2 linked regions of the Schizosaccharomyces pombe genome follow. The gene in region 1 interacts genetically with each later gene. Each region holds a gene or a part of one and is shown on either strand. Other genes may lie near its edges.

What was found.
Region 2: mutations in gpt1 (region 1) and alg5 impair growth when combined (synthetic growth defect), as found in Schizosaccharomyces pombe (one study listed by BioGRID).

Annotation. Positions count from the first base shown.
Region 1 is NC_003423.3:705,239-712,958, forward strand, and holds gpt1 (UDP-glucose--glycoprotein glucosyltransferase Gpt1), read left to right. Parts: upstream 1-2,275; 5' UTR 2,276-2,349; coding exon 2,350-6,696; 3' UTR 6,697-7,188; downstream 7,189-7,720. Other genes in the region: cop1 (coatomer alpha subunit protein), read left to right, coding at 1-275; SPOM_SPBPJ4664.05 (uncharacterized protein), read left to right, coding at 694-839, 903-1,428; 19S proteasome regulatory subunit Rpn3, read left to right, coding at 7,274-7,292, 7,339-7,434, 7,479-7,720.
Region 2 is NC_003423.3:4,090,190-4,094,299, forward strand, and holds alg5 (dolichyl-phosphate beta-glucosyltransferase Alg5), read left to right. Parts: upstream 1-1,967; 5' UTR 1,968-2,138; coding exon 2,139-2,195; exon of another isoform or gene 2,196-2,350; coding exon 2,351-3,262; 3' UTR 3,263-3,563; downstream 3,564-4,110. Other genes in the region: homoserine O-acetyltransferase Met6, read right to left, coding at 1-637.

The sequences.
Region 1 (7,720 bases):
AACTTGCTGAAAGTGGTCCTGCAGCTGAAGCAGCCAACCGCGCCATTACCTTAGGTGACCGAAACCCTCATGATGCCTTTGAAATCGAATATGATCCACACGTTGAAATGCGTATTTGTCCCAAGACTTTAACTCCTGTATATTCTGGAGATGATTTTGATGTTTGTTCCGTTTGCGGTGCCGTATATCATAAAGGCTATGTCAATGAAGTTTGTACGGTATGTGATGTCGGTGGTATCGGTCAAAAAGGTACTGGTAGAAGATTCTTTGCATAAGCATCTTTGAATTCAAACATGTCTAGTATAAAAGAAGCTACCACATTTTAGCATAGCTTTTTTCACAATGATCTCTCAAACAAATACCTACTTGCATACAGCACATTCTTGACCGTTGAAATTAGACGTTGTAAAACGGGGTCTGTCTTCACTTAACAATCACTATTTACGAAAATATTGCTATCCTTCTTTTTCTCTTTTTTTTACATTTTGCTGTATATTGATGCTAAATTAGATAGTTTCGTATCTAGACGATTTAATTCTTTGTAAGTTAAAACCATTATAAATTGTATTTCTTGTTTTATCATGTATGGGGATATTTGACCATTGGTGTGTCACTTGGTAGAAACGGACCTAAATCACACAACTTACCACTACCAAAACCGTAAGAAGCGTAGCGTTAAAATACCCAATTGATATGTCTTCGGCTATATCTCGTTCACGATTTAATTCTTTTATTTTGCATACAGTTGCGACAGCGAATTTGATATGGGCGTTTAACTGGATTAACCACAATAGCGATGTTGCTATTAGAAGGTCCTATGGTTCTCATTTTCAGCATTTGTAAGCGCATACGTCTGGCCTGATACCTTACTTAATATTACTGAATATTAACACTTTATGTAGAACTGTTTTGTCACTGGCCGTTACATTGTTGAGTATGGTAGTAGGATTATTTTCTGATATTTCTGGTTCCTTGACACTTGTAAAGCTAAAAAATATCCTTCTTTATATTGTTTGTCCACTGGAAACTATTGTTTCAATTTTGTATTGGTCTATAGTTTCTTATGATAGGTCTCTTTTAATCCCTAAAGATCGCCCTGTGCCTCTTCCTCTGAATTTTGATATTAGCGTACATTTAATGCCTACCGTTTATACACTTATCGATTACCTTTTTTTCTCACCGCCTTTTAGTTTGTCTATTGGTCCTTCTCTTCTTGTCTATCTGTCAATCGCAGTAAGTTACATGTTGTGGGTTGAGAAATGCTATCAAATGAACAAATTTTACGCTTATCCCATTCTTGCTATTTTGGATCCTATAAAGAAGACAATCTTTTATACTGTTGCGAGCATCATCTCGTTTTCTTGTTACATTGTTTTAAAGATGGTTCATCCGTACGCATTACCTTCTGGTGCACCTCCAAGATCCTAAATTAAGCAACATGGAAAGCAGTTATCGTAGGAAAGGAACAAAACTTCTTTGCTCTCTGAATTTACAAGGTCTTGCATTGACTGTTGTTTTTGATCGCCCCCATCTTTTGATATTCAGAGTGTGGACATCTGATGTCTGCTCCAACAGACGCGAAATTCATTTTCTTGGAATTTGGTCTTTTTTGATTTGAATTATTTAATAGTTTATTGCTCCATGAATGCAATATTGCACGTTTTCAGTTAAAAAGAGGTGTGCAACACTAACACGAACAAGTTGCTTTTCATTTTTATGACAAAATGACTACAGGGACTTTTTTTTCCCCATTTATTATTGATTATGTGCTAATCAATTATTTCATTATCACAACTATGGGTTACAATTAGAAACCTGTTGTAATAACAATAATTGTCTCACTGAAGTAATATAAGCTAATGATTATAAAATTTATCAATTGCATATACATTAAATAATTTAATTCATGGAACCAATTCATCTATGGTGATTATTTATCTGGTTTGCTGGATTGAAATGATTATTTTTAGCATTCTGGAATTTAGATCTTGTAAAACCTGTGTCAAGAATTTTTATTTTAACAAAATTCGTAATCAGTAATATGGAAAAGTCTTCCTACTTTCGAAGTTTGGATTTTTGTATAGCGCCTGACCAGTTACGAATACTTGCAAATTATTCCTTGGTAATTAATTAGTCATAGAACAAAATAGGAAGCCGAAGTAAGATTATAAATTAGATACAGCTTTAAATAGCTAATTATTATACCACTTGTTTACTGTTCTATCGATCAAGTAACTGTTCACGTAAATAGTCGCGTTAGTCCTCTCAACTACTTAGTTACTCCGCCAACTTCTTTTGTCGTCAAAAAAATAGCTAAACATTCCAAAAGCAAAAAGAGATAAGTATAAGATGAGATGGGGCTTTTGGTTTGCTATTGCAACTCTCATTACGATTTGCTATGCCGCCAAGCCTTTAGATGTCAAGATTGCTGCGACTTTTAACGCTCCTTCATTTTCTGCACTTATAGCTGAGTCATTGTATCAAGAGAAGAAGGAGGGATTCATTTGGTATTTAAATCACTTGAGCGATTTACTAGATGCTGAAAATACCACCGAAAAGGAGCTGTACATTAATGTTGTCAATTCACTTAAACGCGAGTATGTTCTTTCTGATGAAGAATTATCTTCCTTGCAGTTTTCTCTGGGATTGTTTTCTGGCGCACCAAAGTTACAAGCATTTTCAAGTATTGTTCAATCGCGCAGCTGTGATTGTGACACTTGGCTACAACTTGACGAAGAATCACAGGTTTGCTTTTCGGATTTGCCAAAGGACTCCCCATTGTTTAGCAAGCTGTACAGCAAAAATCCTCTAGATTACGAAGTTGTAAAAACCTCGGCTACTGGCATTCCGTACGCAGTGGTTGTAACTAGCTTCGAACGAGATCTTATTCCTTTTCACGAACTATATTACAAGCTGGCATTGGAAGGAAAGTGCAATTATGTTATAAGATATTCTCCTCCTTCTTCCTCGAAACTTAACTCCAAACTTTACGTTAAGGGCTTTGGTACCCATGTGTCATTGAAGCGCACAGATTACTTAGTTGTAGATGATCGCGAGTTTCCAAGGGAAAAGGGAGATAACCCAGCAAGTTTTACATCATCCCGCAACAAAAGATCAAATGAGAGACTATTTGGAATGACCTCCGACAGCCTACAAACTGTAACGCCTGATAAAATTGCAATACTTGATTTATTAGCTACACAAAGTATTGCTAGCAGTACTGACATGTTGACTGCTTTTCGAGAGCTTACACAAGATTTTCCTATTTATGCGCATTACCTTTCTATACAACCGGATGTTTCTAATGATTTAATCGAGGAACTGAACCAATTTCAATCGCAATATGTTCCTGAAGGCATTAATACGATTTGGTTGAATGGTTTATCTCTTGATTTAGAGGAAACGGATGCTTTTTCTATTCTCTCTTTAATTAAGAAAGAAAAAGATATGTTTGATAGATTTGAAGCTCTAGGGATTAAATCTTCGAAGGTCTTAGATATAGTCACTAATGAGGCTTTTGCTAACGAGGACTCAGATTTCAAGTTTGTTAAGTTTCATTGTCAAGACGATATAGAGGACTGGAAAGCCATACATTGGGTGAACGAAATAGAAAGCAACCCTAAGTATGACAATTGGCCCAAGAGTATACAAATTTTATTAAAACCTATCTATCCAGGACAGCTTCATATGCTCGGAAAACAACTGCATACTGTCATTTATCCTATTTTTCCTTCTTCTCCTTCATCGTTACCTCTTCTTTCCGAGCTTATTCAGTTTTCACGGCGCCCTTCGCCCGTTCAGACTGGTATGGTATGTGCTGCTAACGATGACGATGAATTTGCTCAAACTGTTTGCAAATCCTTTTTCTACATTTCGAAGGAGAGCGGAACTGACAGCGCTCTCAAATTTTTATATAAATGTTTGAACAGCGATTCTAGTGCTGATTTGTACTCCTTGCTTGAAGAGCATCTTCCATTAAGCGAGCATGATGATGATACTCTAGCTAATCTTAAAAAAGATCTTTCCTCATCTTTTTTTGACCACTATATGTCTAAGAGCAATAGCTGGGTTAATCGTTTAGGAATAGATTCTTCTGCATCAGAGGTCATAGTCAACGGCCGAATTATTTCTCATGATGAAAATTACGATAGGAGTATGTATGGGATATTTTTAGAAGATATCCCTGAAGTTCAAATTGCAGTTGCAGAAGGGAAGATTTCTGAAGATGATAATCTGTTAGATTTTATTTTGCGAGATGCTTCGTTAACGCGGAATCCTTTAGTTTACCCTTCCGCAAAATCTAGTATCAAGAGTATTGATATTAAACGGGTTTTGGAGAACGTTGGTAGTTTGAACCACGAAGATATTTTACTTATCGGCAGTTCTAATGCTAAATATTCATTCTGGCTAGTTGCTGATTTTAATGAAAAGGAAGGGCTTGAAATACTTTCATTACTTGCCGACCTTCTTTCGGAGAATAAAGATGCAAATCTTATGTTGATTCAGGAAGGAAAAAATCATGTTGTACCCCCTCTGTTTGCTAAACTGTTATCATCACCAAAGAGATCTAGTAAGCATTTACAAGAAATATTAAATTCCAGCCTCGATCCCAGTTCTGGCGTCGTTAACGATATGGATAAAGCATTGAAATTTCTAAAAAAATCGAAAGCCGTTGTTAAAGAGTTGGGTCTTACCGGTGAATGTAAATCTGCTTTGTTATTAAACGGACGGATGATTTGTTCTTTCTCAGTTGATAGTTTGAACACCGCTGACTTAAAAATGTTAATGCAAATGGAATACGATAATTATCTGTCAAAACTGTCAAACATTGCTGGAAGCTCAAGAAGGTTAAAAAACAGCCGTGCTATTTCATTCCTTAGCTCATATTTAAAAACGCTTGAATCTACACCCATGAGTACTTCTTCACCTACTAAGGAAGAAAAATTATTTCCTCGTGATTTTATCTACAATAAACTTGGTGTTGGAAATGCTACATTTGAAACTGACGATTTTTCAAAAGCTTATTATCAGTTTGTTGCAGTTTTAGATCCTCTTTCAAAAGATTCTCAAAAATGGTCAGCTATTCTTGAAGCAGTCTCAAAGTTGAACGGCGTAGGAGTTCGAATTCATTTCAATCCTAAACAAACTTTGTCTGAGCTTCCATTAACAAGGTTTTATCGATATTCAATTTCTGCGGAGCCAGAGTTTGATGCGCTTGGCCATTTAGAGGAGTCTTACGTAGAATTTGACAACTTACCGGCTGATACACTGCTTACAATGGACATTGAAGCTAGAGACGCATGGACAGTTATGCAAAAAGATGTGGACATTGATCTTTTCAACATAAAATTAGAGCACACTTCTGAAGCAGAGGCTTTGGACTCACATACAGCAATCTATGAACTTAAAAACATTTTGGTACAAGGTTACTCTCAAGAAGAATTCAGGAAAAGCCCACCGAGGGGTATGCAATTAAAGCTAGGCAACCTTACTAATTCCCATGTGACTGATACAATTGTATTATCAAATTTAGGATATTTTCAATTGAAGGCGAACCCAGGCGTATGGACTTTGGAACCTATGGATGGGCGGTCTTCTCAGTTTTATGAAATACTGTCGCTAAATAAGAAAAATTCCTATAAAGACCCTCAAGTAATTGTTGACAGTTTTGAAGGTGTCACCTTAAATCCGGTTATGCGACGTAAACCTGGTTTTGAGTCTGCCGACATTATGGATGAAGACCTTAGCTCCCATAAATTTTTCGATAAAATAAAAAAGTCTCTCAGCTTCTTTAATTTCAAACGTAAAGAAGCATCTATAAATATTTTTTCTGTTGCCAGCGGACACTTGTATGAAAGATTCTTATACATCATGACTAAGAGTGTAATTGAGCATACGGATAAAAAAGTCAAGTTCTGGTTTATTGAGAACTTTTTGTCCCCTTCTTTTAAAAGCTCTATTCCGGCCATTGCCAAAAAGTATAATTTCGAGTATGAGTATATTACTTACAATTGGCCACACTGGCTGAGAAAACAAGAAGAAAAGCAACGTGAGATATGGGGATACAAAATATTGTTCCTTGATGTTTTATTCCCTTTAGAATTGCATAAGGTTATCTATGTTGATGCCGATCAAATTGTGCGTGCTGACTTGCAGGAATTGATGGATATGGATTTACATGGTGCTCCATATGGGTATACACCCATGTGTGATTCTCGCGAAGAGATGGAAGGTTTTAGATTCTGGAAAAAAGGATACTGGAAAAAATTCTTACGTGGATTAAAATATCACATTAGTGCATTATATGTTGTAGACTTAGATCGTTTCAGGAAGATGGGTGCGGGTGATTTACTTCGCAGACAATACCAACTTTTGTCTGCCGATCCTAACTCCCTGTCTAATTTAGATCAAGATTTGCCAAATCACCTTCAACACCTTATTCCTATATACTCTCTTCCGCAAGATTGGCTTTGGTGTGAGACATGGTGCAGTGATGAAAGTTTGAAAACTGCCAAAACAATCGATTTATGTCAAAATCCTTTAACTAAAGAAAAGAAGCTGGATCGCGCACGTAGGCAAGTCTCTGAATGGACTTCATACGATAATGAGATAGCATCCGTATTGCAAACCGCCTCTAGTCAATCAGATAAAGAGTTTGAAGAAAAGGATAACAACTCATCTCCGGACGAACTTTGAAACATACTTTTCTTTTGCTTTCATATTATTTAATTCGTGATTGTACGCCTGAAATTTTATAATCGTTTTTCTAATTTACTTGCGAATTTGCATAAGTTAGAAGAGAAAAGAGTTAAAATCAAAATGTTTTAATGAATTGCTTGAATACTGAGAGTATTGGCTTTAGGGATTAAAAGGGGTCAAAATTAGTATATGTCGTCCGTTTGAAATGAGCTAGTCATGAGTTAATTTTTTCCTCCAATCTTGTTAGGACCATTTTGCTGGTGCATTCTACAAGTTGTATACAACGATTATGGTGCTAAGAAACAACTAATCGTGAGCAATGCTACGTTTATTGAATGTTTGTTGAAGACGCGTATTTTCATTTATTTAACTATTCGATACTATCTTCTACTTTGTTCAAACATTATTCGTCTATTATGCTGTAATAAATATTGCATTCAAAAGTCTTTACTAAATAGAACATTTAATATATTCGTGTTTATAATCATAGGGAGGAAGTATACAGCACAGTGAGTCGTAAGCTTAGGCATATGCCCTCCACTGAACGTAACCACTACCAAGTACCAGTATCAATATGATTGATGATCAGAGAGGTTTGTTATTGATGGGAAAGTTTTTGTATTTATTAACGTTAAAAAGATATGCAGGTTGATTCTGTAAACCAAGAAGAAAATGTTGATTCTGGTGAAACAAAACAGAACACTGTAACTGAAGTTCCAAGAACAGTTTTGCAAGGTGAGTTAATGCGTCAAAATTTATTTATTTCTAACAAGGATCAGATGTGGAAGCAAATATTGCTGCCTTAATGCAAGCCACCAAACAAAGAGATCCCAGACTTGTCTATCGATCATTAAGAACCACATCCAACATTTGCCATAGACTGAATGCGGATGTTTTAGGCCAGTTAATTAAGAAGTATTATTCTTTTGATAATTCTTTAAAAAATGAATTATTGGAACTTATTGATATGCCACAAAATGGTGATGATTCTTCCACTTCTATTACAAATGGAAATGGCAAC
Region 2 (4,110 bases), 3.4 Mb from region 1:
TAAACTTAGGGTCAGAATATATACTCTGGCGTTGCGCTTCAGACCAGCTAATGCACCACGCGGAATGACGAAGAGAGGTAGAAATGGGAACAATTGATCGCACAAATTCCTTATCAAATGCCCACTCCAAAACCAGCATACCACCCATGGAGCCACCTACTGCCATAGCAATTTGCTTTACACCCAATCTTTGTAAAATAAGTTTATGGATGTTTACATCATCACGTATGGTTGCTAAAGGAAATTCTGGCCCATAAACACTATGAGTCTCAGCGTTCCATGTAACAGGAGAGGCGCTTCCGTATGGGCTACCAAGAGAATTAAGGCATACGATAAAGAAATGTGATGGATCAAACGCACGACCAGGACCGAGTAAAGGACCCCACCAATCTCCAGCATCAGCAGAACCACTTAAAGCATGACAAAGAAGAAGACAATTGTTTCCTTCTTTATTCAAAGTACCCCAAGTCTTGAAGGCAACGGGAACATCGTAAAGGATGTCGCCACACTCCAACGTAAATTTGGGAACAATTGCAATTTTTTGATCTGAAATAAGCTGAACAAATTTATTTTCTTGCTGAGACGGATGACAGGAGTCAGTAAAGACAATTGATTCAATCGGAGATTGAGATTCCATTTTTATCAAACGATTGATAGTCAAATTTTGAAAAAATGAAAGAAACTAAATTTTTTGATAGAACTGAGTTCTCAAAGATGTAACTAACAAAACTCAATGGTAGGAGTTTTAAATAACCAAAAAAAAATTTTTTGACAAAAGCAGATTAGTGTAAGGTTTAACACAAAGAATGAATTACTTGCTTTTGTGTTGAGTAAGCAAATACAATTAGCTTCTCTTCTTTTAAGCGTGAAAAACAAAAAATCGAAAAACCAGAAAGTTTTTACGAAAAAAAACCAAAACTAACGGTATTGCGCAGCAATAAAAATTTTAGGTTTTTTAGTACCAGGAACGGTAAGCAACTATATTTGCTAATTTGTTAAATTCCAAAGTTACCCAAAAACACTTGAATACCAAGATTTTTTTTCCTATTCGGTTATGGTGAAAGGAGAAGTGGTAAGTTTATAAACTTTTATCTCAACCTAATTTAACGGTCTGCTTAGTATTTTGTTAGACAACATTAATTGAACGGTAATCAATAACCGAGTTTGGTATACGGGTACTTCATAATATGCTATTCAAACAACGAGACTTTTTTGTTATCTTATATAAATATAACAGTTTTAACCGTAATTTCAGTAAAATCATGTATGAAAAGGATGAATTTATTAAAAAAATTACAAAGGCTAATGTTTTATAAAAAGTCATTTCATGGATCAGGACTCTGCGAGATCAACTTTCGAAGATAAACGAATCGATAAGGAAAAGGTGTAATAATGTTAAATAAACAGGCGCTTGGTCTAAATAATGATTACTTGCTAGTTTCCTTAAATTTACAATTAATTGACTTGAAGCCAATTTTAAACAAGTGTTTTCAACGTTAAGTGTTTTAGTTTATCAATTTACAAATGAAGGAATACTCAAGACATATTTTATGACCCAGCCAAACCTGTAGTTCATCCTATTCAAAAAGGTTAAGGCAATTGAACAACTTGCGCCCTTAATACTAAGTAGCCGTAAGATATATCATACGATGTTCCATGAAAAAATATTTATATCCACGCAGAATTACAGTCATGTAAGTTTTTTAGGAAAGAGTAAAGGCACCTATTCTTTTAATACAATGTCTCCCAAATAGTCAAAATAATTATATAATTATAACAAGTATGCTTGACTTTTGTGATCTATCAGAAGTTGAGCAACAATGAGAGTCTATTGTAATCGATATGTCTATGCTTAATTGCTTGTAAAAGTAGACATTTTAAGTTGTTGACTGCTACTCACCAACTCGTACTAAAAAATTCGTCTGCTATGACTAAACGATTACTGTTGTCCAGTCCAGTCGGCAGTTAGCCAGAGCCAAACACAAATAATCCCACCGCATGCTTTGTAACTGCAAAAGCTCGGATTTCATTAAAAAATAGCTTAGAGTATAAACGGAGTGGAGTAATTTTTTTTTTGAATGAGTTATTTCTTCCAATATCATAAATCTTAACCCTTCTGCTTTTTGCATAGTTACGACATGGTAGTATACATCGTTTTATACACCTGCCTTGCGGGATTTATCCTTTTGTTCTTGGTAAGCAATATTAGCTAGCATGCTTCTCATTCATGTCCACCCGTCGGTAAATAAGGTCGTTGCGGGCAGAACCTGTTTAGTTTATCTGTACTTTCGATTTTTTGATGTGACATTAGACCAAATTTTTCCCCGAATATTCATTAACCCAAATATAGGTTTACTATTATTTAACTCATTCTCATTGCCCGAGGAAGCAACTGGAAGGAGAGGAAACATGTGTATTCATTGAGAACGGTCAAAAAAAAAGTTTGACTCTTGAGAAGTGGAGCACTTCTGATAATATACAAATAACGGTCATTGTTCCCGCGTATAATGAGTCTAAACGAATCGGAAACATGCTCCAAGAGACAGTCGATCACTTGGAAAAATATTATCGTTCCTCTTCTTCAGCAGGACAACGTCGGTGGGAGATCCTTATAGTTGACGACGAGAGTAAGGATACGACGGTGAATGCAGTGCTAGAGTTTTCTAACAAACTGGATTTGCGGGATCATTTACGAGTTTGCTCACTCAAACGGAATCGTGGTAAAGGCGGTGCGGTAACTTGGGGCATGTTGTACGCTAGAGGTCAATATGCAATTTTTGCTGATGCAGATGGTGCTTCTCAATTTTCTGATTTGGAGCTCCTTTTTAAAAATATGCCACCCGGACCAAGGGGTGGTGTCGTTGTTGGCTCGCGTGCTCATATGGTGAACACGGCTGCAGTAGTAAAGCGCTCATTTATTAGGAACTTTTTGATGCACTGTTTTCACAAACTTTTACAAATCTTAGGGATCAGGGAGATTGGCGATACGCAATGTGGCTTCAAGCTTTTTTCTCGTGAGGCATATCAAAGTATTTTCCCTCGTATGCATGTTGAAGGATGGATTTTTGATATTGAAGTATTAACACTTGCTCGTTTTTTCGGTTTACCTATCATTGAAGTTCCCATTACTTGGCATGAAGTTGGCGGTAGTAAAATGACTCTCTTGAAAGACAGTATTTCAATGGCAATCGATTTGTTGGTAATTCGGTTGAACTATACATTTGGTATATGGGAAAGGCCCTCGGCTAAGCGTATTACTTAATTGGACGTATTGTTGTGGATGTTATTGTTCATTATACATTTTTCCTGAGATATAATTAAATTATGAGAGATACATAAGAATTTTTAGGCGGTTCGTTTCCTATTACTCTTTGTTCCTTTTTTATTGATTGTTTTATCTCCAAGCGGAATATTCTATCTTTGAGTAAGCGATTTTCTACTTGCTCGATTTTTTTTCAATGTTGTAAATACTTCTCATTTCCCCATATATGTACTTATGACGTTCTTTTTATGAAAAATTACTTGACTAATAAATTTACTAATTAAATTCTTTTTAATATTCACAGTTCGTGGTAGTAAGGAACATAATAGATGTATTGTTATTATTACGCAGCTGTTAGTTTTCAACCGAGTCTCTAGCCAAAACTCAACTTTTTTGTATATATGCAACCACAAGAACATATTTACCTAGGTTTGGTTTTCAACGTTGTTGCGTGTGTATCCGTCTATATTTATTGTAAAGTCAGCATCAATAAATCTTAGCAAGATGAAACTAAATAATTTTCATAACATGAAGTACGAAACAGAAAAATAGTTCCGTCCATTTAAACTTCAGCATTAGCAATAGTAAATTAAATGGTTTACCTACCCATTATTCAACTTGCCATAGCAAATTTGAATACAGCGCTATTGCGTATAGCTTCTTTAAAAAAATATAGCACTATCTAGCGTGATAAAAATATAATGAGTTATACTGCAAATGAGATTTTTTGATTTTATCAGTGAGACAACGCAGTATAATTATCAGCAGTAATAAAACCGAAATCAAGATAATCAGAGCGATTACAATTTTCTTTTTTCAACTACATATTCCACACGGGAGGAAGAAAT